Linked DNA regions of Tribolium castaneum. The protein of the gene in region 1 purifies or fractionates together with the protein of each later gene. This does not show direct contact. Links are inferred from orthologs where the notes say so. Each region holds a gene or a part of one and is shown in the gene's direction. Other genes may lie near its edges.

The links.
Region 2: the proteins of zetaCOP (region 1) and deltaCOP fractionate together in Homo sapiens (co-fractionation; 5 studies listed by BioGRID and IntAct, with this or other methods). This does not show direct contact. The link is inferred for Tribolium castaneum from reciprocal best matches to the Homo sapiens genes COPZ1 and ARCN1.
Region 3: the proteins of zetaCOP (region 1) and betaCOP fractionate together in Homo sapiens (co-fractionation; 8 studies listed by BioGRID and IntAct, with this or other methods). This does not show direct contact. The link is inferred for Tribolium castaneum from reciprocal best matches to the Homo sapiens genes COPZ1 and COPB1.
Region 4: the proteins of zetaCOP (region 1) and epsilonCOP purify together in Homo sapiens (affinity purification with mass spectrometry; 3 studies listed by BioGRID and IntAct, with this or other methods). This does not show direct contact. The link is inferred for Tribolium castaneum from reciprocal best matches to the Homo sapiens genes COPZ1 and COPE.
Region 5: the proteins of zetaCOP (region 1) and beta'COP fractionate together in Homo sapiens (co-fractionation; 6 studies listed by BioGRID and IntAct, with this or other methods). This does not show direct contact. The link is inferred for Tribolium castaneum from reciprocal best matches to the Homo sapiens genes COPZ1 and COPB2.

Annotation. Positions count from the first base shown.
Region 1 is NC_087396.1:16,250,542-16,256,501, forward strand, and holds zetaCOP (coatomer subunit zeta-1), read left to right. Parts: upstream 1-2,289; 5' UTR 2,290-2,435; coding exon 2,436-2,453; intron 2,454-2,501; coding exon 2,502-2,747; intron 2,748-2,798; coding exon 2,799-2,932; intron 2,933-3,462; coding exon 3,463-3,553; intron 3,554-3,638; exon of another isoform or gene 3,639-3,670; coding exon 3,671-3,718; 3' UTR 3,719-3,749; downstream 3,750-5,960. Other genes in the region: zinc transporter foi, read left to right, coding at 631-1,153, 1,206-1,426; Galphaf (guanine nucleotide-binding protein G(f) subunit alpha), read right to left, coding at 3,750-4,449, 4,495-4,592, 4,641-4,815, 4,866-5,032. UniProt on the Homo sapiens protein: The coatomer is a cytosolic protein complex that binds to dilysine motifs and reversibly associates with Golgi non-clathrin-coated vesicles, which further mediate biosynthetic protein transport from the ER, via the Golgi up to the trans Golgi network.
Region 2 is NC_087394.1:32,202,061-32,209,170, forward strand, and holds deltaCOP (coatomer subunit delta), read left to right. Parts: upstream 1-2,326; 5' UTR 2,327-2,479; coding exon 2,480-2,482; intron 2,483-2,591; coding exon 2,592-2,631; intron 2,632-2,689; coding exon 2,690-2,913; intron 2,914-2,971; coding exon 2,972-3,151; intron 3,152-4,536; coding exon 4,537-4,748; intron 4,749-4,795; coding exon 4,796-4,957; intron 4,958-5,006; coding exon 5,007-5,217; intron 5,218-5,264; coding exon 5,265-5,479; intron 5,480-5,528; coding exon 5,529-5,733; intron 5,734-5,814; coding exon 5,815-5,904; 3' UTR 5,905-6,071; downstream 6,072-7,110. Other genes in the region: hfw (protein halfway), read right to left, coding at 815-862; deubiquitinase DESI2, read right to left, coding at 7,069-7,110. UniProt on the Homo sapiens protein: Component of the coatomer, a cytosolic protein complex that binds to dilysine motifs and reversibly associates with Golgi non-clathrin-coated vesicles, which further mediate biosynthetic protein transport from the ER, via the Golgi up to the trans Golgi network.
Region 3 is NC_087397.1:6,601,533-6,606,826, forward strand, and holds the end of betaCOP (coatomer subunit beta), read left to right. Parts: coding exon 1-621; intron 622-2,015; coding exon 2,016-2,290; intron 2,291-2,341; coding exon 2,342-3,545; intron 3,546-3,590; coding exon 3,591-3,665; 3' UTR 3,666-3,747; downstream 3,748-5,294. Other genes in the region: up (troponin T), read right to left, coding at 4,275-4,486, 4,558-4,636, 4,895-4,975, 5,027-5,119, 5,170-5,294. UniProt on the Homo sapiens protein: The coatomer is a cytosolic protein complex that binds to dilysine motifs and reversibly associates with Golgi non-clathrin-coated vesicles, which further mediate biosynthetic protein transport from the ER, via the Golgi up to the trans Golgi network.
Region 4 is NC_087397.1:2,371,012-2,376,863, reverse strand, and holds epsilonCOP (coatomer subunit epsilon), read left to right. Parts: upstream 1-3,240; 5' UTR 3,241-3,299; coding exon 3,300-3,401; intron 3,402-3,447; coding exon 3,448-3,894; intron 3,895-3,954; coding exon 3,955-4,179; intron 4,180-4,236; coding exon 4,237-4,374; 3' UTR 4,375-4,463; downstream 4,464-5,852. Other genes in the region: fbp (fructose-1,6-bisphosphatase 1), read left to right, coding at 10-182, 231-375, 427-933, 986-1,174; uncharacterized protein LOC103315197, read right to left, coding at 1,896-2,921. UniProt on the Homo sapiens protein: The coatomer is a cytosolic protein complex that binds to dilysine motifs and reversibly associates with Golgi non-clathrin-coated vesicles, which further mediate biosynthetic protein transport from the ER, via the Golgi up to the trans Golgi network.
Region 5 is NC_087398.1:12,749,164-12,755,896, forward strand, and holds the end of beta'COP (coatomer subunit beta'), read left to right. Parts: intron 1-1,697; coding exon 1,698-3,909; intron 3,910-3,957; coding exon 3,958-4,069; intron 4,070-4,120; coding exon 4,121-4,156; 3' UTR 4,157-4,272; downstream 4,273-6,733. Other genes in the region: aladin, read left to right, coding at 5,080-5,199, 5,252-6,051, 6,097-6,459, 6,504-6,705. UniProt on the Homo sapiens protein: The coatomer is a cytosolic protein complex that binds to dilysine motifs and reversibly associates with Golgi non-clathrin-coated vesicles, which further mediate biosynthetic protein transport from the ER, via the Golgi up to the trans Golgi network.

The DNA of each region.
Region 1 (5,960 bases):
ACTGATGTGTTCGCAAGTAGTATTAGCTCAGTTAGTGGAAAGTATGATAATTATTTGATGACAATATACTTGTTCAATGAAACAATGATCTTTGTGTACTAGTTTTTTTTTATGAAATCGGCGATATTTTTTTCCAATACAACTAATTTAAACTCATGAGCGCCGTACGTGACACTGATTAAAGGATTTCTGCCCCTACGAAATGAAAACGTAAATATGGTTCAGACATTTTTATAATTTGACGTTTTGTTTTTAAGACAAATTACAAAAATTAAAGATTTTTCAAGAAATTGTATCGCATTAGTGTTTTCCAAAATCATTTATACCATGATTAAAAATAAACACTGAAATTTTTAGCCTGCATTTGAAAAAAAAGCAATTCAAAATGCACCTAAAGTCCTAAAGTGCACTTTCGAACTATGTATCTTTGTGGGGAAGTCCCGAGTCTTTATTTAGTTTCTGTATTTGTACAAGTGAAGTGATTCTCTACAATCTTCTGAACTCGGGGAATACCTACACTAACTTTAAGACAGCCTGTATAACCAATGGTTATAACCGGATTCCATTGTATTTTATACCAATTTTATAAACAAAAATTGTGCTTAACATAATAACTCAAAACATATTTAGCAAGCGGCCAAGGGCGACTCGTCCGAAACCGCGATATCCAAAGACTGCGAGAACGGTGAAACCAACCAGAACCTAACCGAGTGTCCCAACGACCTCAACACCTCGAACAACTGCACCGAAATCAACAAGATGCTCCCACACATCGAAATGGCTCCTCACGAGGAACCCGAGGCCGATTACACCGTTATTATAACCGAGCACGGGGCTGTCCACCATGGCCACTCCCATCTCCATGGGCACGTCCATGCCGCCCCCCAGAACTTCTCGTCGGTTGCATGGATGGTGATTATGGGTGATGGTCTCCACAACTTCACTGATGGTATGGCGATAGGGGCTGCGTTTTCGGGGAGTGCCGCTGGGGGGTTTTCCACCGCCGTGGCTGTCTTCTGCCACGAGTTGCCCCATGAGGTGGGCGACTTCGCCATGCTGCTCAAGGCCGGCATGAGTATCAAACAGGCGCTGTTTTATAACATTATTTCAAGCATCTTGTGCGTGTTGGGGAATTTGCTGGGAGTTTATTTAGGTTAGTTTGGTGGTATATTGTTTTTTTTTTATTTCAATATTTGGAATTTTAGGGAATACGGAAGTTGCCAGTTCTTGGGTGTTCGCAGTGGCGGCTGGAACGTTTATTTATATTGCGCTGGTGGATATGATACCAGAGTTGAGCTCGGCACATGAAGATGAAGGGAATTTGATTCAGTGCATATTGCATTTGAGTGGGCTGTTATTAGGGTTTGGGATTATGACGCTGATTGCGTTGTTTGAACATGATCTTAAGAATATGTTTAGGGAATAATGACTTTATAATTCGTTTCTATTGGCTGTTTTTTATTTTATCTGGTTTTTGATACTGCGTGTTTACTGCAAAGACTTGTTTTTTTTACAATCATCCCCCTTCTTCCTTGTGCTGCTACTTAGGTATTAGTATTGATTAAGACTTACCTATATTATGTAAACCCACATGTAATGACCAGTATTGGTACGCAAAACAATAAAATTTATTTAAATATGAACAGGATTTTATTTCTTCCAACAAAATTATAAACGTAGAAAAGAAAACAGTTACTACATTATTAGTTAAACTTAAACTTTAGATAATTATTGATTACCTTACAAAACTAATTATACTTTTATTTTTTCAGTTTTTTCATGACCGCTTTACAAGTCGCCGCAGGTAGGCCTGGTAATTAAACAAATTAGTCTCAAATTGTAAACACGGAATGTTTTCCATACCTACGACCTTAGACAATTTCCTCGGGGGCATGTTTGGGTCCTTTTCGAGGACAGCTCTAATTTGTTGTACTTTTTCGGGGGTTAGAAAAATTTCCAAGTTGGGTAATTCCGGTTCTCTAATACTACCAGTTGCTCGAAGCCGATCAACCAATTGGGGCACGTATTCTCGTAACATGTCATCGCTAAAAGTGGCCCCAGGAAACTCATTTCTAAATTCCTGAATACACTTTTCTGCAACGGACTCATTATACAGCCATCCTTCATTTTCCTGCCACTGGGTGTTACGGCTGTATGACTCAAACAGGAAAATGTTTTGCTGCGTTGTGGGACATATTGTTTGGTCCATTTTGTCGTATTTTAAAATCAAAATGATCAAAATAACAATTTTCAAATTTTCACTTGACAAATGACAGACAAATACCAACATCACAAACCAAATTCCCATCTTCTGTCAATTGTCAAATTTTAGACACGTACAAAAATCAAAATAAGCCTGATTTTGCCAGTATTTTGCAATTTAATGAAATAAGCTACAATTTGTTACGTTAATTAATTGCCACAAGTCGAGAAAAATGGAAGGAACACTGTTGGTATGTGCGAGTTTTATTTGTGGGGGCCCACAGTACCCGTTTTTACAGGAGCCTACGTTGTACATGGTTAAAGGAATTGCAATCCTCGACAATGACGGCAACCGTATTTTGGCTAAATATTACGATAAAAACGTTTTTCCCACGGCTAAGGAACAGAGAGCCTTTGAGAAAAATCTCTTCAATAAGACACACAGAGCTAACGCTGAAATAATCATGTTAGATGGTCTAACTTGTGTTTATCGCAGCAATGTTGATTTATTTTTTTATGTTATGGGTAGTTCGCACGAAAATGAAGTAAGTTTTTCAGTACTTTATTTATTTTTTGTTAATTATAAATCGTTTCAGTTAATTCTAATGAGCGTTTTAAACTGTCTCTATGACTCTGTTAGTCAGATTTTGCGCAAAAACGTCGAAAAGAGGGCCGTTTTGGACTCACTTGATATAGTCATGTTGGCTATGGATGAAATTTGTGATGGGGGGTGAGTTACACATATTGGATTAATGAAGAAGTTTCCCTTCACTGGCTGTTCCTGGGAACGTACCCCAATGTGGCTCCATCTGTTTTATTGTTGCATTTTTGTTTTACTAATTCATTTTGCTCTGACAACAAATAACCGTAATCCAGAGGGTGATTCTATTAAGGCATACATTAGAAACTTCTTAACTTCCAGTATAGCTAGAGTTTATACAATACACATCGACCATTCCAAATTCAGCTAAAAGTTTAATCGTACCAGAAATTAAGCCTTAAACAAATGTATGTCTGTAAATTAATATTGCCTGTTGTGTTTTATGATGTAGTTTTTTTTCTAATTATTAATAAAAGATGTTTTGTTTCCACAAATTATTTCAAAAACTTAGCTTAATGTACTAATTAACAACTATGTAGTATATGCAAAAATGCACAAAATATAGGGTGTACCTGCTGTAGGTGAGGGGATACTTTCTTCATTATGTAATTTTTTTTAACCTTTACAATGTAAGTTATTTACATATTTTTGTATTTCAGTATTATTATTGACGCTGATTCAAATTCAGTTGTGTCGCGAGTGGCTCTCAGGAACGACGATATTCCCTTGGGAGAGCAAACTGTAGCTCAGGTAACTAATGCAGTCCATTCAATTTTTTGGTGAAGCTTTTGTCATGTTATGCTAAGTGTATGAGGAAAAATTAATTATAAATATGTAATATGTAATAACAAATACGTTTATTTATAGGTAATACAGTCGGCCAAAGAGCAACTCAAGTGGTCTTTGCTTAAGTAAAGTATTTGTGTAAACTTGTAATAAATTTGTATTAGTAACTAGCAATGTTTTTTACACTTTCCTTAATTATCATTTCGTGGACACTATCAAACACTTTTTTAACATTCTGAGTGTCTGTAGCGATAGTGTGGTGGATATAAATATCCCTAGGGGGCAGCTTCTCCTCAGTTACTGTTTTTGTAATTGGATTATAATTTTTCACTGTTACTTGTATTTTCGACATTTGTGTTATCTTCTCCTCGAGGAAGGCTTTCGCATTATCCACCGCAGAACCCAGAGTTTTATTAAAATTTTTGTACTCGGGGAAGTACTTTTCCAATTTTCTCCCGTGCTCTATTTTCCTCTGGAAGAGGTCCTGTTTGTTGAGAAAAACAATCATTCCAGCCTTTCGTAAAAACCGGCTTCCACACATGTCTCTGAAAACGGACAAAGCTTCCTCAAGCCGATTTTTCGATTCATCTTCTCGTAGTGTTTGATCGAAGTCACTCGCTGCGATTATGAATAAAATTGCGTCAATTCCGTCGAAAACTTGTATCCATTTGCGGCGTTCCCCTCGCTGGCCCCCTACATCGTACATGAGGAAATTGGCGCTTCCGCCCCCGTATGTTTTAGGGACTGGGACGCTGAACTCAATCTCCGAAATGGAAGTGGTGCGAATTCGGCAAAACAGAATGTCTTGAGTTGAGGGGATGTAGTCCGGCTTCCTAATTTCGTCAATACGGTCTAAGAAACTGTTATTTATTTAAGAAACCGTTTCTTTTCACCTAAACACTTACTGTTGGGCGCTGTCTATTAACTGGTATTCGTTTGAGCGCTCGAACGTTTTTTGCACTCCTTGATCGTTCCAAAGGCTCTTCACGTTATCAAAATATTCCTATTAAAAAATATGCAATAATTATTCAATTATTAGTTCAAATTGTACCTCAGTGTATTCCTCTAGTTCTTCTGGCCCCAAATCTAAAATAAATTTGGCGCATTCTTCATTTCCGCTCTTCTCCAGTTTTACAGGAGGATTAATTTTATCCATGTTGTAAACAATATCATAGATAGACTCGTGAATATTTTGCTTGATGTATGGAATTTTTTGTTTCTTTTCTCTACATTTTAATTTTTTGGACTTACTCTTGACAAAAAAAGAAATACTCACTCGGTTGAAAATCCATTAATGTGCAAAATTTTCATTTGTTTAATGATTGTAGTTTTTCCAGATTCACCTGTACCCAAAAGTAGTAATTTGGTCGATCTTTTGAAACGTCTGTCATGTTCTCTTTCTTCATCGTTTTCTCTATTTTTGGGACGCCCACAACCAAACATTTTTATTTTTTAACCAGGTTTTCGCATACCTGGGTGGATACGTGATTATACTTTATCTGAAGTTCCCTTCAAATTACTTAATCTTATCTACTTTTTAAGAAACACTTCCATCATACATCAGATTAAAAAATAATAATATGTTAATAAAATCAATGGTTTTTATAAATAAGTACTTTGGTTGTGGCAGAGATAGTGAATAAAAGCTGGAATTACATAAAATATTTGATAAAATATTTGATTTTGAAAGTCTGCGACAAAAGTTGTCTCAACAAAATATTGATAAGGTTTTGTAAAAAGGGTTAATCTTTAAACAATCAGTAATAAAGCTGATAATGATTTAAAGACAAGTGCTTGTTGCCAAATAAGGCAAATTAAAAATCACAAAACGATCTCCAGGAGGCAACCGTTAAATTTATTTGTCAAATAAAATTTTTGTAATTGATCTTATGCGTTTATTACTAATGATAATGATAACATGTAATAATTAAGGCTACTAAAATAACTTTTTGCTTATGTTTTATTTAGGTTTTCCCAAACATAGTTCACACCCCAGTTCTGTATTAAATTCTGTAGTTCATTGTACTGTTTAATTTAGAATCTATATTTTAATGCACCTACTTGTGCAGCAACAATTTTGCAATAAAAATTAAACTAGTTTGGCGGTCATTTTTAAAGCGCGCCTGCCGATAACGCAGTTCCCAAACTTCCCCACCCTCTCTTGTTTCGATTTTTAGCAGGGAATTGACTTTCCTTCGGTTTTCCGGTAAGTTTCTCGATTTATTTCAACCATCTTCCGCTAATTTATCAAGAAAACACTATAAAATGCATCTGTGGTTACACAATTCTCCTTTTTTGGGCAACATTCGTCGAATTATCACTCTTTATACCGATAACCTTAGTTCACCGAAATGCGTTTGAATTTTTGTTT
Region 2 (7,110 bases), on another chromosome or scaffold:
TTTTGAACACATTAAAATGTGTCAATTGCTTCCACAGGAAAAAGCAATTTGCTTTGATACAGGATATAGGCAACTTGTAAACAATAGTAAGAGCACTTAGTACTTAGCCATATAGTACTTAAGTGTCAGAGAGGAAGATGCAATGAAACATACCTTTTCACTCAGGTAGAGGAACACAATCAACGGTACACATTATTCTTTGGCCATAGAACTGTTTTAAGCCTTTACTACAAAGTTACACAAAGACACTATGGGACGAGATGTTTTTAACAGAATTAACCTAAACATAACACACTACTATAGCTTTTGCTATGGCCTTGGTACGGCCTTGATGAGGCACACGGAAACGTGAACATAAAATGAACATAATAACAGATAAATATAGTAAACTACTAATGTTGATATCAAGGCGCCATCTATTTGTTCTCCACTCTTTACTCCCAATTATTATTGTTAATTAAACTTTATTCAGTAATTGGATCAATGAAACTCGCTGCCCACACCTCAAACAAACTTCCATTACTCCATTTCAAAAGACCCCATTCAAGGAAAATCAAATATTTTGAATATTTCCTCACACTCTACTTTTAGAACACGCTTATATGACCACCAATACTCGCTCTATATTGCTGGTAGATTATTTTTCAAAATTTAGAACCACCCATTTTCAGTCCTTTCACTCCTACCCTTATTTTTGTATTGATTATTTTACACTTTTATCTATTCTATTGTTCTGTTGCTTAAATCACTTATACAAAAAAAGGAACATTTGTTGATTATTAAAGTAAAGTATGATTAAAAAAAAAACACTCACTAAACTGATGTGTAGTAACAGTAGTCTTGTGAGCTTGTGACTGCACATTATTCATGTCAATTGACAAACATATTGATTTCTTGATGAGACAAACAAATTATAAATCCTCTACCACCAATGTTTTATTCATGAAATAAAAAATGCTTCAAACTCAGTACCTAATCATCAATTTTAACACATTCCTATGATGGATTTACAGTTTTCAGTGCAGTCTATGTACAAATTTTTGAATACACTGTAACCACCTAAACGATAATTTTCAAACTAATCGGGGTATTGGAAAATATCGAACTGAAACACACTTGCGTCAGAAAAATGCCAGCAAATAATTGCTCAACAAGATGTGCAAACTGAAGGAAAATTCAAGAGCCAATCGAAAGAAGAGTAATAAAGTAAAGTAATTATTTAGTTTGAGATATTTACCAAACGCACTATTAATAATGGTTTACAGGTAGATAATAAATAACAGTTAATCGTGCTGGCTGATTATATTTGTTGATTATATCAGCTTAAAGTAATTAAAAGCTTCTTGCTAATACTCGTACCTAAAGTGTAAAAAATTAAGTAAACGAATGAATAACAATATCCGACAAATTATTGTGTTAATAAAAAATTATTGTTGTTTATTTTTCTCACATTTACAATTTTTTTGATTACCATTGATTACCTTTAAAAAATGAGAAAATAATATAATATATCGCACAAAAGTCAGACTAACACACGTTAATATTATTCTAATCTTAAATTTTTGAAATTTGACACTTTACTGTGGCATTTTTGTATTGTTTTCTATCTTTAATTAACATTTGCAGTAGCATACAGGAAAATACTATGTTTTTTTCATAGCCTTATCTTATGACTTTATGATAGACAAAGAATGGTTAAAATTTTTTACTTATTAATCAGAATGTAATAAAAAATAACTCTGGCCTATATTTTCGTGATCTGGTAGCCAAGATAAAAATTTTGGAATGTTTGATATTAAAAAAAATTTAAATTTTCAAAATACTTGCAATTTAATCACGATATTTTATTTAATCATTTTTATTGCACTAGCTATACTTAATACTCAAATAACCCAAACCACCCACCTTAGAAATAAAAATAACTTGTAATTCTAGGCCGCAATTTTTTTTTGATATTCAATCAATTTGTTCAGATACATATCTTTACAATATCATAATTTACTATAATCTATTAAGACAATTTAGTTTGCTGAAATATTCTTAGGCCATAGTGGATAATAAAAAACCGAAAATATTTTTTTTTAGTTAGATACAATTTATTATCTGGTTTATTTCTAAAATAATTACGTTTTTTTTTGCTTTTTTTCACATTCCTGTATTGCTATATTTTAGTAGGAACAAATTACTAAATAGCTGAAGCAACAAAAAATATAAAAATAGAGCAGTTATTGACTTATTTAGTTTGATTTTAAGTAACTTATGAGTAGAAACTGGAGCATTTTCGAATTTTGCGCCTAGAGCTGGTGCAGTGAATCGGCGTAAGGTTGGCTGACTGAATACGGTCACGTCACTGTTTTTCTCATTCAACAGCAAGCACAAGTCAACGTCATCTTAAAAAATTAATAGGGTGTAATGTTTTGTAAAATATTATTTTAGTTTTTAGGAACATAACAGCAACAGACCTTTCACAGTCTCTAAAATGGTGAGATAATCTTTCACACACCACACAAATCCAACCTTTCACAATTCCAATTTAAAATTTCCAAGTTGCCATTTTACGCATTTTCTCACGTTATAACATATGATTTCAGGTGCTCATAGCAGCGGCGGTCTGCACTAAGGCCGGTAAAAGTAAGTACCCCACATAAACCACCGAACCATGTGTTGCAACCTTTCTCTGCCTTTCCAGCCATAGTCTCTCGGCAGTTTGTTGAGATGACCAAAGCCCGCATTGAGGGTCTCCTGGCGGCTTTCCCCAAACTTATCCCAACAGGAACACAACACACCTTTGTAGAGACCGACTCGGTCCGATATGTATATCAGCCACTTGAGCGCCTTTACATGCTCCTGATTACCACAAGAGCTAGCAACATTTTGGAAGATTTAGAAACTCTGAGGTTGTTTGCGAAAGTGGTAAGCTGTCCAGACCCATGGAAGCCACAAAAACATCCTCACATTGTCATTATTTTAGATTCCCGAATATTGCCGCTCATTGGAAGAAAATGAAATTGCGGAAAACGCATTTTCCCTCATTTTTGCGTTTGATGAGATTGTTGCTCTTGGGTACAGGGAAAGCGTCAATTTGAGCCAAATTCGCACATTTGTCGAGATGGATTCACACGAAGAGCGGGTCTATCAGGCCGTCAGACAGGTAATAAAATTGCTAAACTGGTAAAATCATTTATTATCAAAGTTTGTACAACAACGGACACGGCTATTATTTCAAATTTGCTATTTCATGATTAGATTGCCTCACAGAAAATAAATTAACAACAGTTCTAGAAATTGTAATGCCAAAAAGTCGTAATTCCAGTTGGCAATACTGAATTCTAATTTTAAACAATGTAACTGAAGTATATTTCTGGTTAAGGTTTTGGATTCTGTCATCAGTGACAAAAAAAGGGAATTTTTTGGTTAAAAATTATTAAAGCCAAGAAGTTGTAATTTCAGATGGCAATACTGACTTTTAATTTTTAACCATGTAACTCAGTATATTTCCCGGTAAGATTTTGGATTCTGTCTTAAATGAAAGCGGTTTGAAAGAAATAAACAAAATGACAAGTTTTCAAAGATTTTGTGTTAGTCACAGCTCTTAAAGTAATTTTGGTAATAAAGCAAATAACTCAGTATTGCCAATAAATTTTTTAAGATGTTAAGTAAAATTCCTCCCAATTTTAAATTTTTATTTGAGGTATAAAATCAGATATAATAAATTTTTCGACACATTATTTCATAGTGACCCAGTAGAAGGTGAAATAAAAATTAATTTGCTGTTAAAAGTTAATTTAACAGTTAATTTGGTAAGTGATCACTGATCAGCTGTTCTAACGTTTAAGTGAACGAATTCATCGCTAATACCTGTCTCACTATTTTTTTTTGTTACCCTGATGGATTTTATGTTGAAAATTAATAATGGTATAATGAACATAAAAAGAATTGCTGTAAAATCTAGAGTTCTTATAATACCATAATAATATTCCGTTTCACATCAACATAAAGAGACTATGCTATTGTTTGTATAACTTGTTGATATACCTACCAGGTGAATAAAGAGAATGAAATCTAACGTGTTTTTTTTTGCTTAAACTATTTACTTTTTGGAAAAACTACTAGCAGTGTGATTAAAGAAAATGTTTATTTTTTTGTATGTGTAGTTTTTGAATTTTTTACGACCCACTTATTTATCCACTGGTTTAAAAACTATGAAAACTTAAAGACAAGCGTTATTAAATTTTTAAATTGCTTTTATTTACAATAAATTCAAGATTTAAAGTTTCACGAAAGGAAAAACATCTTATTCAGACAGAATGTTTAGCTTGGGCATAGAAAGCCATTTCCGATATTTCTGCACTTTTAAACCTCCTCACGGAGGTCTTAGGGCGAATAAAATAGAAACAGAAGACATGAGACATCTAACATTTGATAGAAAGCATAATATTTCTTTTAGAGCCCTTTCCTATAATTGAATTAAGGCATGCTGTTTGTATAGATTCGAAACCAATGTAATTTCTGATTTACGAACTGACTCCTCTTTAGACACAAGAACGCGAAGCTAAAAACAAAATGCGTGAGAAAGCTAAAGAATTGCAACGCCAGCGAATGGAAGCCAACAAAAAGGGCGTCAAACCATCATTTGGTAGCAGTGGAGGCTTTGGTAGCTCATCTGGTTATACTCCAGCCCCTTCAGTCGGCGATGTTGCCAATATTTCAAACGATATCAAACCACCAGCTTATTCCTCCGCTCCTCAGTATGTTAAAAACATCCAAAAAATTTTTTTTTAAATTGATTTAATAGGAAACCTTCGACTCGAGGAATGAAACTGGGTGGCAAAGGCCACGACGTTGAGTCTTTCGTAGACCAGCTTAAATCCGAAGGCGAAAATGTCATTGCACCAGTTAATAACAGTATTTCACAAGGGGGAATGAAAACACCAGCGATCAAGTCCGATATTAATGAGTAAGAAAATAAACAGAATAGAGTAGAAAGTGACTTGAATTATTTCCAGTGTTCACTTGAGACTGGAGGAAAAACTAATCGTTCGAATGGGCCGTGACGGCGGTGTGCAACAATTCGAGTTGTTGGGGTTGGTGACACTGCACATTGGGGACGAAAAGTGGGGGCGAATTCGTGTCCAGTTGGAAAATAAAGACACGCGTGGCATCCAGCTCCAAACTCACCCCAATGTAGACAAGGAACTTTTCAAACTGCGTTCCCAAGTACAAACAAACCAAAAAATTATTGTTGATTAATTTCGTTAATTTAGATTGGGCTCAAACAACCATCCAAACCATTCCCGTTGCACACAGACGTCGGTGTCCTGAAATGGCGATTGCAAAGCACAGATGAGAGTTTAGTGCCTCTCTTGATCAACTGTTGGCCGTCGGAAGTGGGCGATGGCAGTTGCGACATCAATATCGAGTACGAACTTGCCGATCCGAATTTAGAGCTGGCTGATGTCAATATTTTGATTCCGTTACCGTACGTTCATAAAATGTGATCCCAGTATTTTATTGATGTATTATTTTAGGATGGGTTGTAACCCGGTTGTGGGCGAATGTGATGGCTCATACACGCATGAGTCAAGACGTAACCAGCTAATATGGAATCTACCTATTATAGATTCAAGCAATAAAACTGGATCGTTGGAATTTAGTGCGCCCCGATCTATTCCTAACGACTTTTTCCCGGTGACAGTTTCTTTTAGTTCGAAATCTGCTTACGCAAATATTAAGGTGAGTTTTCCTGTTTACGTCACCAGCACGGCGAGTGCGTTAGTAATAGGTCGTGGTTTTAAAGACGTTTTCTCGTTTCAGATTCTTGATGTATTAATGGTGGACGATGATTCTCCTGTTAAGTATTCTGTTGAAACTAGCTTGTTTCCCGACAAATATGAGATAGTGTAAGTGTCACAGTAGGTTACGATAGTTAATGAAATTATATAATAATAAAATTCACTTGTATAAATACTACTAATATTTTATTCGTTCTTGCTTTTTGTACAAAATTTTAAGAAGTTTGTTTTAATTTTTATCTATTATATAAATAAAATAAGTCAGGAGTATATTTATAACCCGTTGTTTCATTCCCGCCAAATAAAAAAAGACTTGCTTGAATAAAATTTTATTAAATAATAGTTAATCACAAATCAATTATGAACTACACAGAAAAATCAAAAGCAAAGTGCATTTATTTTGGCAGATTTTCTAATACCTTTTGAGCCAAATAATCCGTTGCATCACAGGTTACTGTTTTTTTTGGTGCGAAAATCTATTTCATGAATCGTTTGTACTGTTGTAGAAATATAAACATTGACAAACACAGTCTTATATTCTTGGACAACACAGAAGGTCCCCTATTCAACTTCAGTGAACAAAATAAATTAATTTGTGTCAACATGTCTCTTTTATTTACAATTTATGAACACAATTTTTACGCTTAAAGTGATTCAACGCAAATTTACGGTCGCAACTGCAAGAAAAATTGTCACTCTGAAAAATGTACGACACATTTGTACTTCGTCTATCATTTTCAACTGTCCTAGAACTAGTTCTAAAGTATCTTACACAAGTGACCTAGGGAATCAACCAAAAATATATTACAGGTCACTGCACAATTATTATCGGCATTTCTCTTGAAAAAGTGGTGTTCTCGTAACACGCAAAACCAAGGCCAATTCTCAACTTTTGTCTTAAAATTGGTTTAAATTTTTCCAAGAGCAATGTCGAAATATTTAACGAGTAATTTCCTATTTACTTCTGTGAACTGTGAATTTGAAATTTAGTTAATTTCAAAGTCATAGGCCACTTTAATCACGAATTAAATTGAAAGCACGGTGTAAATTAAAAATTATTTACAATGTTCACGATTTCTTTGGCTTGTTTCGTTAAAAGACAAATGCAAAACAATGAATAGGGCAATCTCCACGGCCACCACGAAACAATACAATAAATAATTGCAAAACGGGTTAAAAGTTAAATACAGATGATTACTTTAAACAGATAAAATTATTTTCTTATAATACATGTTTACCACTTCATTATTTAACGTCCCTACAGATTTGGCAAGGGTTAATAGGGTGACGTTGATGATTCTGAACAAGTTGAGTCTTT
Region 3 (5,294 bases), on another chromosome or scaffold:
AAAGTTTGCCACAGCAATCCGTCTGAACGGTCCAGGTTCATCCGCTGTATTTACAATTTGCTCAATTCGAGCAGCCCCGCTGTGCGGTATGAGGCTGCGGGGACTTTGGTCACGCTCTCCACAGCCCCCACGGCGATTAAAGCGGCCGCCAGTTGCTACATTGAGCTCATAATCAAGGAAAGCGACAACAATGTCAAGCTCATTGTTTTGGACCGTCTGATCGCTCTCAAAGACCACCCAACTCACGAAAGGGTTCTTCAAGACTTGGTTATGGATATTTTGAGGGTTTTGTCGAGTCCTGATTTGGAGGTGCGCAAAAAGACTCTTAATCTGGCGATGGATTTGGTTTCGTCGCGAAATATCGAAGAAATGGTCTTGGTTTTGAAGAAAGAAGTTGCGAAAACGCACGATGTTGAGCATGAAGATACCGGAAAATATAGACAGTTGCTAGTCCGGACTTTGCATTCTTGTTGTATTCGATTTCCGGATGTTGCAGCAACTGTTATTCCAGTTTTGGTCGAATTCTTATCTGATACAAATGAGCTTGCAGCCGTTGATGTTCTGATCTTCGTCAGAGAGGCGATTCAGAAATTCGATAATTTGCAGCCGCTCATCATTGAGGTAAGAAAATTCTTTGAAAATTTGAAAAATTGGACGTTTGACGTAAGTCAACTCTCGATTAAGAACGGTTGTTTGGGTTATTTCATGGTTATTTGATTAGATTATTTGTAAGATCTCAATTGTCGGTAATCAAACGTTTTGCTATGCATTTCGTTTGATTATTAATTTTGTTTTATTATTATCTGAATGTGTTTAATCATTGGAGCGTCAAATATCGAAAATGACGCACACTTGATTAATGATTACGCATTTATTTCTATATAAACTGCAAGAAATAATCGAATTTAAATTTTTCTTTTCCGTATAATCATTGATTTGAGTTCTGTCGTGACATAAATCAAGTCACAATTTTTTAAAAAAGAAAAAATACGAACAATATTACTAGTGCGTCCATATTTTATGAATGAAAATCATGAAAAGGTCATCTAATTAAAATATCTGGGTCACATTTCGGTCGATTTTTTTTATGAAAGATGATGCTTTCGTCTTACGTCATTTCCAATGCGATGAGTAGAAGCAAAAAAATTATTAATTAACGTAAGTATTAATACGCATTGTGATTGGCCTGTTTGAGAAAACAACCACTTTGGATTTTTGGACTCATTCCAATTTAGAGCAATTGGTGAACTTCGACTTGGTTGATTTACTTATTATAATAAACATGATTTTTTTCTGATATTTAATACGTGTCTCTTATGTACTTCATCACGTTAGGTTTCTGAAAAAATTATTAAATATTGTTATAAAGCTTTATTAAATTTCACTGTATCTGAGCGTTTTATTACTACGAGTAAAAAAGAAAAGTCATATTATATGACATATTCAAACATGTATAAGAAGCTGGTTAAATCAAAAAAGCATTGCTATGCCGAAAAACATTGTTAATAAAAATTATGGCCACTGCGACACAAAATGACAGCAAACAATCGGTATTATTTACTTCACCTTACGCTCATATTCTTGTGAAAAACGCCGAAAAAATGAGAAAACTTTGCTTCCTTATACCTTTTTCCATATTTTTATCTTTGACGGTTTACTTTTAAATTTTAATTGTGAGACCAAAATTTTGTGATATGGTGAAAATTATCCCAGCGACAGTTTGGGGCCAAGATATAATTAATTAAATTAATTTTAATAAATTTAATTATTTAATGAAGAAAGATTTTAGTTTCGTTGCCCTTAGAATGTTAACGCAACGTCTCTTTAAAATTGAACTATTTTGCGTTTCTTGGTTTATGGGAGCAAAAACTATTGGTAAAACAATCCACAATCACGTAATAAGAAACCAATAATTTTAAATTTTAATCATTTATTAACATTATTACAAAAATTTATATATGTGAAAAAAAGATTCAATGATGCCCGAGTGTTTGTCTTAAAAAAATATTTTCCAGAAACTCCTCGAAGCTTTCCCCAACATAAAATCGGTGAAAATCCACCGAGCCGCCCTTTGGATTTTAGGCGAATACGCAACAACTGTGGCCGACATCCAGTCCGTACTTAAAGCCATCAACCAAACCCTAGGCGAGGGCCCCCTTCTGGAAGCGGAGCAACGTCTAGTGGCCGGAGATTCGGAAGAAGTCACCCAACCGAACCCAACACAAGCTTCCAGCACCCTCGTCACTTCTGACGGAACTTACGCCACCCAATCAGCCTTCAACACGGTTCAGTAAGTAGTCATTTGTCGAGAGAAAAGCCCGGTTTGTAAATCAAGCTTTAGGAAAAGCACAAAAGAGAAGCGGCCCCCACTTCGCCAGTATCTAATCGACGGCGATTTCTTTATCGGGGCTGCGATCGCCTCAACTTTGACCAAACTGGCTCTAAGGTACGGCAGTTCGGTTAAAAATGCGGTTGAAAGGAATCGGTTTGATGCCGAAGTTATGATGATCATGGCCGGGATTATTCACTTGGGGAAGTCGGGTTTGCCAACTAAGGCCATGACCAATGATGATAAGGACCACGTTTTATTCTGCTTGCGGGTGCTTTCGGACCGGCAGCCGAGCATTATCAAGGTTTTTACCGACTTGTGCCGACAGGCACTTAACGACATGTTAGTCGCCAAAGAAATTGAAGAAGCACTCAATCAGAAAGCGAAAGAAAAGGCTGGTAATGTCATACAAGCCGACGATCCGATCAATTTTATGCAATTACAAGCCGACAAGTCGGGCGAATTGGGTGAAAACGTCTTCGAAACGTCCTTGTCACAAGCCTTGGTTGGGGGCCGAGTCGGCGGCAGTGACACAAGCACTGGGGTTAACAAGCTGAACAAAGTGACTCAATTGACCGGCTTTTCAGACCCGGTGTATGCCGAAGCCTACGTCCATGTCAACCAGTATGATATTGTTTTGGACGTTTTGATAGTCAACCAGACCAACGATACGTTACAAAACTGCACCCTTGAGTTGGCAACTCTCGGCGATTTGAAACTCGTGGAAAAACCGCAGCCGGTGGTTCTGGCGCCCAAAGACTTCTGCAACATTAAGGCCAACGTGAAAGTGGCCTCGACCGAAAACGGGATTATTTTCGGGAACATAGTTTATGACGTCACGGGAGCAGCGTCCGACCGAAACGTGGTGGTCCTGGACGACATCCATATTGATATTATGGATTACATAGTCCCGGCCACTTGTAGCGACTCGGAGTTCAGGCAAATGTGGGCCGAGTTCGAGTGGGAGAATAAGGTTTCGGTTAATACGACCTTAACCGACCTTGCGGAATATTTGAAGCACTTGATCAAAAGCACCAACATGAAGTGTTTGACTCCGGAGAAGGCCCTGTCAGGGCAGTGCGGTTTCATGGCCGCCAATATGTACGCAAAATCAATCTTTGGAGAGGACGCTCTCGCTAATTTGAGTATTGAAAAACCGTTCAACAAACCTGATGCACCCGTTACTGGACATATCAGGATCAGGGCCAAGAGTCAGGTTGGTAGCACTGAGTGTGAATCACAGCTGAGTTTGTTGTTGCAGGGGATGGCTCTGAGTTTGGGTGACAAGATCAATATGACACAGAAGGGGCAACAGAGTAAAGTTATCGCTGCATAATTTGTATTTTATGGTCGTATTAATATTAATAAAGTTTATTTGAAAAAATGGCTTTGATTACGGAAAACTCGCTTTTTCTGAATCCAAAAAATAGAGTACTTATACCGTCTCAGCGCCAACTCTTTAAATTAATTTAAATTCAACCAATTCTGAGAAAAACTGTATTATTCTAAAATAAAGTCACTGTGAGAAAAACTAATGACTGAAATTTTCATAAGAAACGTGAGAAAAAAAAGAACATTTTCGCTTCGTGCCGTATTTTTCAAAACGCTACAAAATATTGGCAAAGTGCAAATTGGTAGAAGTTTTTTTTTTTAAATATAAATAACGATAAATTTTGCGTTATGTTTAATGCTTTATCATTTATAAAATTCATTGCTCAGAAAACAGACGATAATGAACGACTGCGCTCTCTGGCGGCACTAAGGAAACTATCAAGGACGGGACCGTTTTATTTGAACGTGGTTTCGTATCCTAACCTTTAGACCTCCGTAGTTTTGATGTAACGATATTTATTTGATTATAAATACAGTTTATTATTGGAAACGAAAATAAAATAAGATAAAAAGTACATCATGGACGTCGGGACAAAACGATGTTCTCGCTTGCTTATTCTTCTTCTTCCTCCTCGTCGTCCTCTTCCTCTTCTTCTACCTCAACCTCCTCTTCCTCTTCCTCCTCTTCTGGCTCGGGCTCGAACACCGGCTCCTTGATGTCTTCATCATCATCGGCGGCGTGTTTGCCCTCTTCTTCGCCCTCAGGGGTCTCAGGATCGCCCTTCTTCTTGCCGGGCCTTTCACCGAACCATTTGGGAAGTTTGGCTAAAATACAACGTTTCAGAACCCGCCCTTGCCCACATTGGCACAAATAAGCAACCAGCAGCAACTCTTACATTTTTGCCTCGAATCGAATTGCCCAATTTTGTCTTTCCAGAGTTTTTCATTGGTTTCCTTGGTAATTTCTTCGTAACCCTGTTAAAACGTAAAACGCACACTCAGACATGGCACAGTACAGTTTTGTGATTAGAAAAAGGACACGAGACAAGTGATTAATAGCAAAATGGGCACAACACAACGGATATGCCCACTTACTTCTCGACCGACTTTCGAACTCGCCCACTTTCTCTTTCCAAACTTTTTCCAAAAGTTCCATGTTTAGGTGGTCAAAGCCCTAACAGAAACGGTCACAACGCAATCATCGGTCCTTTTTTTGACTTTTGTAATACTTACACCCTCAAACAGTTTCTTCTTGTCGTCGTACGATCTGGTGTCGACACGACGCTCATATTTGGACGCTACTTGGATCTTAGGCTACAAAACACAAAATTACAAACACTTAACACAAGAATTAATAACACGTACGGGGTATTTGCCGGTGAGAGCCTCGGGGTCCAAGCCCTTCTTCAAGGCCTTGTGCCTGAGTTGCTGCTTTTGTCTCTCTTTCAATTCTTTAAGCTGTAAAATTACGTTATCCCACTGTGCCAATATTATGTTTGCGGGCTTACATCGTAATCCTGGCGTTTCTGCCTTTCTTCCAAGTCATATTTCTCAGTTTCGAGCTTAACGATGCAGTCCCACAACTCCTGGGCCTTTTCCCGGAGCTTGTCCACGCTGAGGTTGTCAAGCACCA
Region 4 (5,852 bases), on another chromosome or scaffold:
GCCTCCACAATGGCAAGTTCGGCGGCTTTGGACTCGAATTGCATCACCCTGACACGATATGTGTTATCAGAGCAGAAAAACGCTCCCCATGCAACAGGGGAGCTCACCCAACTCTTAAACTCCATCCAAACAGCGGTTAAAGTAATTAGTAGTGCTGTACGAAGGGCTGGGATCACAAAATTGTAAGTAATTGTACATTTCCAATGCAGCCGATAATATGAAGAGTCCAGGTTTGGAACAGTGGGCCACACAAATGTGCAAGGCGAAGAGGTGAAGAAACTCGACTGCCTTGCCAACGAGCTCTTCATCAACATGTTGTCCTCTTCGTACACTGTCGCTCTGCTGATCTCCGAAGAGAACGAGACAGTGATTGAAGTGAGTTGAAGCAACTATCATTGTTTCAGCGTTCATTATTATTTTTCCCAGATTGAAACTGATAAAAGGGGCAAGTACATCGTGGCTTTTGACCCGCTGGACGGCTCCTCCAACATCGATTGCCTCGTCTCAATCGGTTCAATTTTCGCAATAATGAAAAAAACGGACAATTCGATCCCGTCGGTGAAGGACGCCCTCCAGCCGGGCAACCAGGTGGTAGCTGCAGGGTACGCGCTCTACGGCAGCGCGACCATGATGGTGATCTCCGTGGGGAACGGCGTCCACGGGTTCATGCTGGACCCGTCCGTGGGCGAGTTCATCCTCACTGATAAGAACATGACGATTCCCAAACGGGGCAAAATCTACGCCATCAACGAGGGCTACACCCATCAATGGGACGACGCGGTCAAGGAATACGTCAGTAACAAGAAGGACCCATCGAAGGGGAAGCCGTATAATGCGCGATATGTGGGGTCCATGGTCGCCGATGTGCACCGGACGATTAAATACGGCGGCATTTTCATTTACCCAGCGACCAGGGATTCCCCCAATGGAAAGGTGACGTGCATGAGCACAGTTATTGGGGTAAATTTGTGAATTTTGGTTACAGTTGCGGTTGTTGTACGAATGCATTCCCATGGCGTTTATTATGACACAAGCGGGTGGGTTGGCTTCCAACGGGAAAATCCCCATTTTGGACGTGCAACCCACGAGCTTGCACCAGAGGTGTCCCATTTTTCTGGGCTCGAAGGAGGATGTGGAGGAGGTTCTGGCCGTTATTAAGAAGCACTCGAAATAAATGTTTTGATACTCATTGGATTTTTTAATAAATTTTGTTTATTACAGTTAATTGGTGTTTATTTCTTGGGCGCAGTTGCATGTTTATTACGTGAGTGTTTTATGACTCTTATTAAATGCAAAACACTTTTTAACAACTATTCTCTAATTGCATTATGTAACAATAAGACTATAATTGATGTTAAATTACTAGTTTGTTTTTATCAATCTGATACGTGTTTGTACACAAGATGCAATAAATCCCGGCTGGACTTTGAGAGCCAGTTCCGGAATTAAAATACTCGGTGACATCAAAGTTACAGCATCTTTAATAGTTTTACGAAATTACAGTTGATAAGTCTTTTCTATCGACCATTAAAGCAGAATGTATGTAAATGTATAAATATTTTTTAAGACCGCTTACATAATTTGGAGATTTTAACTTTGGTCTTGAGCTGGATTAAATTATATTTTATTGAATAATTTTTGTTGCAAAGTTTACAGCAATTAATGGATTTTCAATTTCCTTCAACAATAAACAATTACATCTAATAAAGGTATTTATAAATCCCGTCCTTGACTTTGGAAAACAAATTAAATGAGAATAACTGCACGGAAAACTTGTTTTTATTCTCTGCACATCCTGCTATGTAATAAGATTGAATAAAACGAGTACAAAGGTAATACAAAAAATTTATTTTTATTATTATGGTACAAAAAATGTAAAGTAATTTCAATCTTTATTAGATAACAGAATTTTCTGCCAATTTTTCGAGTTCCTTCTTGTCGTGCTCCATATTAATGATAAGTTGTTTGTAGTTTTCTGTGAGCTCTGACAAGCGTTGAACCATATCTTTCATATCTTCCTGTAACAAAGTTGGTATTTGGAAACGTTCCTTTTCAAGGAACTCATTTAAATCATTGAACAACTGCAGCAAATCCAAGTCGGGAGTATTTTCTTTATCAAGTTCCAGTTGATTATCATTCATTATGACATCCAGGAGCTCGTTTGCTCTCTCACACATGCTTTTAATATTTTCCATTTGTGCCATTTTTCCTTGCAACTTTTCCAAATCAATTGATTCGAGATTTTTCTTTTTCTCTTCGTCTAACGCCTTGGTGACTTCGGCCATTTCCTGTCTTTTAATCCTCTCCACTTGCTCCACAATTCGCTGGGCTTCTGCAAATGCCTCTGCCGAGAATTTGTGGAAGTTGGTGGCAGTTTCTGACGTTCTTTTTTTTATAACTGACGTTGTTCTATTCAAGTTTTCTATAATTATTGCATTAACGGCTGGATTTTTACAAGGTCTGATGGGAGACAATAATTTGCCCTCTTTCATGTTCTTTTTTAAATGCTCATGCAAGACGAACGTCGACAATTTAAACATGAATTTGGCCACCTTTATGCCACCAGGTGAAACAAAAAGAGATGGCATTAGCTTAGGAATGTTCGCCGCTTTGTAATTTTCATTCAAGTAATCAACAAATGCCACCACCTCTTGTCTAAACTCTCGCTCTCCTTTGGTGTCGTATGGGGGCCAGGATTTGAGCTTTTCTCTGGTCAACTCAGGACTTAGGACATTGAAAAGGTAGTTGGTGACTTGTTGGAAGGCTGCCTTGTTATTTTTTTTAAACATATCTTCCCTGAAAACCTCATGGAAGTCTTGGGTTGGTGGATAAACATAAGTTAATTGCTTAATGTTTGCGAAAAGTTTCTCGTGGATTATGGCTTCGTAACCTTGCAAATTTATCACAGAGAATGACGCCATTCTGTGCTAAAACAATAAAATTATTCAAAAGTGAAGATTATACTTAACAAATTGTATCTTACAAAGAACAAATAAGCTTCAAAAACACGACTTTTTTAAACTAAAGACCAGTAACTTTAATTGACCACGACCAACGTCAGAAAAATAAATCACCAGACGGACGATTTTTTTATTAAAAACAGACGTTTTTTAACTGTTTTTTTATTTTAATTGACACACAAGTTGGGAGGAAGCTTAAGTTTAGTAAAAAATTTATTTTTGTGTACGTTTGTTTGACGAATTTCCGAATTATTAAGCAGCAAGGCCGCCAATATACACAGCATAAAAGCCCAGTTCGTTCCCATTTAAGGTTAAGTTTCTGTCAGTTTGACGTTCAAGATGTCGCGTCAGCAACACGACGACGAATTATTTGAAATAAAAAACTTCTACTACATTGGAAATTATCAGCAGTGCATAAATGAGGCACAAAAACTGCGCAAGGTTTTTACCACTTTTCCATAATTAGCTTGCTCAATATTTTTTCCAGCCCTCGACCCCCGAGGTGGCCATCCAACGCGACATTTTCACCTACCGCTCATACATGGCCCAGAACAAATTCCTGGTAGTGCTGGACGAAATCAAGCCGTCCTCACCCGAGGAAATCCAGCCCTTAAGACTCCTGGCTGAATATTTATCCTCCAAACAAAAACGCGAGTCTATTGTCGCCCAAATAGACCAGAAGCTGGCCTCCAACGTCGAAAGTGACACTCTTGCACTTGTGGCCGCGACAATATACGTTAATCAGAACAATCTAGAGACGGCATACCGCGTTTTGCACGCGTCTGAAAGCTTGGAGGCTTTGGCTTTTATTATTGATATTTTGCTGAAGATTGATCGCGTTGATTTGGCCAGGAAGAAGTTGAAGGAAATGCAGGAGAAGGACGACGATGCCACGTTAACGCAGTTGGCACAGGCGTGGGTCAATAACGCGAGTGTAGGTCGCAAAATTATTAATAATTAACCACTAATTTGTGTTGTTAAATATTTTTTACAGGGTGGGGAAAAGCTGCAAGACGCCTATTATATCTATCAGGAATTGGTTGAAAAATATGGGGCTACACCTTTGCTGCTTAATGGCCAAGCTGTGGCTCTTCTAGGTCAGGGGAAGTATGAGGAGGCGGAAGCTGCTCTACAGGAGGCTTTAGACAAAGATGCTAATTATCCAGACACTTTGATCAATCTTATCGTTTTACATAAACATACAGGGAAAACGCCTGAAGTAATTGATTGTCAAATTGTTTGTAACATTTTTTGTTAATTATTTTCTTTGTTTTAGATTGCAAGTAGGTATTTGTCTCAGTTGAAAGACGCTCAACCAGATCATCCATACATTAGAGACTTAAAACAGAAAGAAAGTGAATTTTCAAGGATTTGTAAACAGTATGGTCCTTCAGTTTCAACCATTCCGACGTAAAATGTGTGAAAAAGTTATTATTTGCTGTAAAAAAATTATATAACGTTTAAGTTAATTGTATTACATGAAAAATAAAGCCCATAATCAATTATAGTTTTTATTGATTTAAACCCAATGATACATCCACATTCCATAAACGTAATTCGTTTTTTCCCAAAACAATCCGAAACCGTTGATATTAAAAAAAAATGACTAAAAAAATTGAAATAAGTCAGGAGTATTAAAATATTCGGTGACAACAGTTATTGCAAAAGAAAGTTCCAAATACGGCTACAAAGTACAAAATAGAAAAAATGTGTACTTACTTTTTTGTTTTTGGCATCATTTTAAACTATAAGACAATTAATTTCCATTTTCTGCAAGCAATAACCGTCTTAAATATTCCAATGTTGAATTTATTGTTAAATGTTTGGTACACCATAAAACTCAAATTGGTGATTTTTTCAACAAATTTCTTAAAAAGTAAGCCAATAAACCACATAATTATGTCAAAAAGGACATTATTTTTGCAAGTTTTGAGAATTTTAAACCGAAAATAATCTTTTTTCCTTATTTTTATTAAACTAGAACACAACAGTCACCAAATTTGGTCGAAAATGACCAAGAATTTACCTTTTCTAAGCGTTTATTCAGCAAAAACTCGCAAATTTTTTAAAAAAGTAAGCCAATAAATCACAGAATTATGTGAAAAATGAGATTATTTTTGCAAGTTGTGAGGATTTAAACGCGTTTTTAGTCAAATCTTTGTTTAATCTTCGAAAAAAATAAAATTAAACCAAGTCTCAAAGTAGTAGCTGAACCGACATAACTATACGGAGCCCTAGTTTATCATTTTCAAAATTTAAAACTTCAAAATTTAAATTTAAATTCTGTTTTGTACTGTCTAACACATAACTACTTATGAAATGGAAAAAAATGCCATAATCTTTTAATTGCTCGTATTTTAATTTCTGTTTCGAAAATGCCAATCATTTGTCTTTAATAATTTTCGTGTTTGGTGAGGCGGCATTTTGGGATGAATGGGCTAATCGTCCGCTTTGGGCGAAAAAAGTGCACTTGGGGCGTGTTCCGTCGGCGTAAAATTGAAAAAGCGCACTTAGTTTAATTTGAAATTCAAGACCATTTGAGCTCATACATAAATTATGGCAGGAAGTAGAAAATAAGCAATCCATGAAACCAAGAGTAGCACAGAAGATGAAAACAGATGAAGTCGAGGGGTTCAGCTGTCTCCAAGCAGATGACTCGATTTGTCACAGCGTCGCTCTTCTGACTTGATCCACGCCTCCAATTTTTTACAATTCACGGCGAAAGACATCCCGGAAAAACTCACGTGTTGGTTCACCTGATCTTTGATCGGCCGGAAAATTAGCGCGGCTTTTCTAATCGAAACGATTAATCTTCTTTTCCATTTTTCCGAGCGCGATTAATTAAATTTATTGCTTAATTGGAACAATAGACATGCAAATATGGCAGTGTGT
Region 5 (6,733 bases), on another chromosome or scaffold:
AATTTTGGCGTGAACTTCGCGAAAACATCTGAGAATTTTTGTCATGTTTTGATAAACTTAGTCATTGTCACTTCCCAGTAAACATTTTTTAGGTCATAAACATTACTGAAATCAATGTTTTGTTAAATGAAACATTTGACCTTTGAGCATAGTTTGTTAATGAAACGTCTGGGAAACAACAAATATTTTCTTCTTGATATGATTCACTAGAAACATTTCATTGAAATTTCTATGGTATATTTCACTCACTTTCAGGATGGTATAAGAAACATTTAAACAATATCATGTTGTAGAACTAAAATATATTATTTATATAAAAAACAGAAACAAATATAATTTCAACAAAACAAAATATATAAAAAATTCATTGTGACAAATATTTTTTCTTTATGAATTGTTGTCGTGCCTGCACATAATGATTTCGAATGAGGTGGTTGTATTTTGATAATTCCGCATGTTTTACATGTTATAGGCGATTATTGTGATATTGTTATATCACTTCGGTCTCATTATTATTGTTACGTGATTCCAAGTTTTTAAAAATAGCGATTATTGTAGTTATTGTAGACTAAAAAAAAGATTTATGTAAATCATCTAACAATACATGTTTCGTGTTTATTGGGTGAACAGTCAAAAACCATTTGATCTAAATATTGGACCAAATGCTTGATAAGCGGTTATGACGTCATAATTTCAGCCTTAAATCGAAATAACTTGAGTTAGAGAGCAGATACAGAGGAACGGTTTTCACTGTTGTAATAAGTGCTTTCAGTACTATTATTTATAATAAAGTTGTTTTTTAACTTGCCAATGTCTTTTTTGCTGAAAACAATGAATATTCAGTTTGATATACAAAGAACATAATTATTTTTCTTTTAACGGCACATCTTCTAAATTTAAATTCTTGATATTTTTAATTCATATTCTACATTCTACGATCAATTTTTGAAGGGCACTGTTAAGAGAAGGCTCGTTTAGTACCAAGAAATCATGCAGTTTTTGACGGCATTGGAAATAGTTTCTATTTTCATATATTTTCCATAATATGTAGTTCGAGCATTGAATCATTGCTCCATTTCTGTTATTAACTTTCAAAGTATGTGTTGTTAATTTTCATGAAATATTCATTTCATTCAAAATGGAAAAAATATTAGTGAGATATGTCACGTTGCATCCAATTTTTGTCGTCTGCAAGTTGATGTTATATGTTTGTTCAATTTATTTAGATAAACGGTAAATAACTTCACATTTCTTTGAATGTTAAACTTTGACACCTTCCTTTAACTGTCCGTAAAAGTAAGAGTAATCCGTAAGAGTATTGATTTTTTTTTCTGTGTAATCTAAAAGCCTATCTCATTGCAATGTTCAGTTGTATTAGGGCAATCTGATTTATTTTTTACGTGATTGGAGCACAGTTTGAAGGTTCGTGGTGTCTGTACATATAAACACTGATACCCAGAATGAAACCTGATCGGTGTGTGAAACTATTAGATGATCACCGAATTTACTGTTTTAATTTACCAATTTTTCAAACGCGAGGAAATCTGACACTTTTCCATGTGTTCACAATTTTAATTTATATTTTGATAGAATGTACAATCGTTTTTGTTGCCCCGGTCGCTACATTAGTATATCCACTGGCTTTGAATAATTTTACACTTGCTATTGTATTACAATGCGAAATATGAAACCTCTAGATGACATGCTTATCAAATTATGGAACTGGGAGAAAGCCTGGGCCTGTCAACAAGTCTTCGAAGGCCACTCTCACTACGTAATGCAAATCGCAATCAACCCCAAAGACAACAACACGTTCGTAAGCGCGTCCCTCGACCGCACATTGAAAGTGTGGCAACTGGGTGCTTCCACCCCCAATTTCACGCTCGAAGGCCACGAGAAGGGGGTCAATTGCGTCGATTATTACCACGGGGGCGACAAACCCTACATCATTTCAGGCGCCGACGACCGTCTTGTCAAAATCTGGGACTACCAGAACAAAACATGCGTCCAAACCCTCGAAGGCCACACTCAAAACATCAGCTCGGTGTGTTTCCACCCTGAACTCCCAATCGTCCTGACAGGGAGCGAAGACGGCACTGTCAAAGTCTGGCACGCTAACACACACCGTCTTGAAAGTAGCCTCAACTACGGCTTCGAACGCGTTTGGACGATTTGCTGCCTCAAAGGCTCAAACAACGTAGTTTTCGGGTATGATGAGGGCAGTATTTTGGTCAAAATCGGGCGAGAGGAGCCGGCAGTTAGCATGGACGCCACTGGGGGCAAAATAATCTGGGCCAGACATTCGGAGCTGCAGCAAGCCAATCTGAAGGCTTTGCCCGAGGGGGCCGAGGTCAGAGACGGGGAGCGGCTCCCAGTGGCTGTGAAAGACATGGGGGCCTGCGAGATCTACCCCCAGACGATCCAACACAACCCCAACGGCCGGTTTGTTGTTGTGTGCGGCGATGGGGAGTATATTATTTACACGGCGATGGCGTTGCGGAACAAGGCCTTTGGGGCGGCTCAGGAGTTCGTTTGGGCGCAAGATTCGAGCGAATATGCGATTAGGGAAGCGGGGTCTACGGTCCGTATTTATAAAAACTTCAAAGAGAAGAAGAATTTTAAACCGGATTTTGGGGCCGAAGGGATTTTCGGGGGGTGGTTACTTGGGGTTAAGTCAGTGGCGGGGTTGACGTTCTACGATTGGGATAGTTTGGATTTAATCCGAAGGATTGAAATCCAGCCAAGGGCGATCTACTGGTCCGATAACGGCAAATTGGTGTGTCTTGCGACCGAAGATAGTTATTATATCTTATCGTACGATTCGGACCAAGTCCAGAAGGCTAAGGACGAGGGACAGGTGGCTGAGGACGGGGTTGAGTCAGCGTTTGAGGTCCTGGGGGAAGTGAACGAGACAGTTCGGACGGGGTTGTGGGTCGGCGATTGTTTCATTTACACGAATGCCGTCAACCGAATTAATTATTTCGTTGGGGGTGAGCTTGTAACCATAGCTCACTTGGACCGGCCTTTGTACGTCCTCGGCTATGTCCCGCGTGACGATCGGCTCTACCTCGCTGATAAGGAGTTAGGGGTTGTCAGTTATCAGTTATTATTGTCGGTACTCGAGTATCAAACTGCAGTAATGCGTCGTGACTTTACCACAGCCGATAGAGTATTACCCTCGATTCCGAAGGAACACCGGACTCGAGTGGCCCACTTTTTGGAAAAACAAGGCTTCAAAAAACAGGCCCTTGCTGTGAGCACGGACCCCGAACACAAATTCGAACTAGCCTTAGCCTTGGAGGACTTAAACACCGCTCGAACTCTGGCCCAAGAAGCGAACAATCCGCAAAAGTGGAGCCAATTGGGTGAATTAGCCGCTTCGACTAACAACCTCCAACTAGCCAAGGAGTGCATGCAAAGGGCGCAGGACTATGGGGGCCTCCTTCTCCTGGCTACGAGTTCCGGTGACGAAAAACTTGTGAAAACACTGGGCGAAAATACACACTCTGAAGGCAAACACAACTTGGCTTTCTTGTCGTTTTTCCTTTTGGGAGATTTGGACAAGTGTCTGGAGATTTTGATTTCGACGGGGCGTTTGCCCGAAGCCGCGTTTTTCGCTAGGTCGTACTTGCCCGATAAGATATCCGAAGTTGTGTCCTTGTGGAAGGCGAAGTTGTCGACGACGAATGAAAAGGCGGGGCAGAGTTTAGCCGATCCGAAGGATTACGAAAATTTGTTCCCGGGTTTGAATGATGCGATTGCTGCTCAACATTTTTATAGTATGGGGAGGAAAGGGTTACCGTTGGCCAAAGATGCGAAGAAAATTACGCCGAATCATGAGAGAAATGTTGTGCAAGAGATGAAGGCGCAAGGGGGCGAAGGGTTCAGTGTGCCAGTGGCGCAGACTAGGTTGGTTGGGGGGTTGTTGGTAGTTTTTGAGTTAATTTTGGTTTTTAGCCAACCGGTTCAGAGTGAAATGAAAGCGCCGCCCAGATTGCAGCAAGAGGATGAAGATGATCTTGATCTGGATTTGGAGGGAGTTAACATTGATGATAATATAGACACCACGGTAAGAGACATTCTTTACGTCTGAGGTTTAATATTGACAGTTTTTTTTTAGGATATCAATATTGATGATGATTTGTTAAGTGATTAATAAGGATAATTATCCAATACTAATATTTAATCCGAGATTTAATCGTTAATGTTTTTTATTGTCAAGTATTTTATGTAGGTATTCCATAAGAATTAAAGTTACATACAGTTTCTCAATGGGTCTTTATTTTTTATTTATTAATTAATGATGACTATTACTTAGGAGACGAAACATAAGACAAAATTGCTTCTGAACCCAAAAAATAGTACGCAGAGTATTATACCGTCTCGACGTCAAATTGTTTTAAATGAATTTAAATCCAACCAATTCTTTAATTACTTGAAAAAAAATTGAGAAATGTTGAGCTTTGCGCTATTATCAGCCTAAGAAAAACTGACGACTAAAATCTTCATAAGAAACATGAGAAAATAGTTATTTATAATACGAGTGAGAAAACACAAGCTTTAAGTTTGAGAGCTGCATACCTAGACACCCGAGAAGTTTAAGCGTTTTCGGAAGTGTTATTAATTTTTTTGCTGGTACATTTTAATTTAAAACACGTTGCTTAAGCGTGTTTTAAAATAGTGAAAACATTGATTTAAAACACGTTGTTTATAATCTAGGATTCAAATATTAAAAAGAAGGCTTAAACTGTTACCAACCAAAAAAAAAAACATTTATTTGAGTGCTTTAATAACCGCGTGTTTTTTAAGTTTTTAATGTTGGTCACTGAGTTTGAGCGACTTTTTACCGAAGCAGCTTAACTTCGAAAACTTTAAAAATAAATAATTTGCGTCGTATTTTTGCAACAATTACTCAATTCAATTAAATCATTTGTAGAGTTAATAAAAATTATGCCAATTTAATTGTGCGTTGCCAAACGTGATCCAAAATTGAGTTCGCGGGTATCGGACTTTGAGCAACTTACACTTGCTTTTGACAGTTGGTGGTTGAGTTTGAAAACCGGTAAAAAGTGAACGAAAATGAGAAATTTGGAAGATTTCCCGGTTCCCATCGACGGCGAGGTGACTTTATGTGAGATAAACGGCCGAATGCAATGCATGAATCACGAATTTGCCAACGTTTCAACCTTCACGACTGCTGTAACGTTTCCAGAGGTTAGAGCCACCAGAAGCTGTGATTTGTGCGTTTCAGGTTGACAAACACCCGAAGGTGCACATAACTCGTGATTTGCTGCATCTGCCGAACTTGGGGGACGAGGGTCGGGCGTTGTTTTTGCCGACTGATGTGCCGTTTTTGAAACAACTCACACAGGTGTACGCTGAGCAGGGCTTGAAGGAAGTTTTACATACCGCCACTTTGCATCAACATTTGTTAATATCACAGAGCGCCCGCTTTTTGTTGGCAGTCTGGCGGTATTTGCGTAAGGCGAGGTTGATTCTAAACCCGAGTTTGGAGTACCACAGTTGTGAATTGATAGATGAGTTGAGCCAAACGAGAAATTGGGCTAATAACACGATCAAATGCATTGCGTGGCATTTGCACAATTCGCGACTAGCTGTGGCGACGTGTGACGACAGCGTTAGAATTTACTGTAATGATAGTAGTTTTGTTCCCTTGCTGAGGTGTAAGCAGCAAAGGAATGTGACGTGTTTGGCCTGGAGGCCCATGTCTTTGACGGAAATTGCAGTAGGGCATGAAAATGGCATTATAATATGGCACGTTGATTTCAACTCATTGGTGACTAGGCCTTCAGTAAGCAACAGTATTATGTTACAAAGGGTGGACCACAAACCCGTCATGAGTCTAGCCTGGAGCCCCCGAGGCAATCTCTTAGTCAGTGCCGCAGCCCTGGACTCAAACATCCTCGTCTGGGACGTTGAATTGAACAAAACCAGTGTTTTGAAAGGTTCCAGAGACTCGGGAAATATTCTACTGAAATGGTCTCCAGCCAAAGACAAATTATTGAGTGTTTCGAACGGAATCGTATTTAGGTGCGAATTATCGCTTCGATTTTTTTTTAATAAAATTATTTGAAGGATTTGGGATTGCCAGCACTGGGAAAACGAGCGTTGGACGGTGCCTTCAGGCCGCGTCCAAGCAGCTTGTTGGACGAGTTGTGGCACAAGTTTGCTCTTTGCCACAAGTACAGAGCCAGTTATTTATGGACTGAACATGAAAAGTGACCATGTGTTTAGCAGCAATTCCGAGAGTTCTATTGACCACGCTGTGCCTTTATTTGACCTCTCTAAAATTGATTTGGAGGGAATTGCAGTTGGCGGGATTGTTCAGTCAATGGAAGCTGATCCAAAAGGAAACCACTTGGCTGTGTTTTTTAAAGATACGAGTTGTGTTGCGCTTTTTAGTGTAATAAAGTCGCCACTACTCCAGCTAATACCAAGGTGAAATGATTGATTTTGTGAGCGAAAATAATTTGTTTTTGCAGCTCGTTGATTGTCGGTTTGGCTGCTGAGGTGCCAAGTACAATAGCGTTTCAATATAATTTCAAACCTGGAGCTTGTCTGTCCATTGCCTGGTCTAGTGGACACCTCCAACACTTCCCAATTATTTACACTGATTTGACCAATGACTTCAATGCAAGCCAGTATGTCCAGTCTCAAATCAGGTCTTTAAATAACTCTAGATAATGTTTTCTAACGAATTGTATTTTTGTAA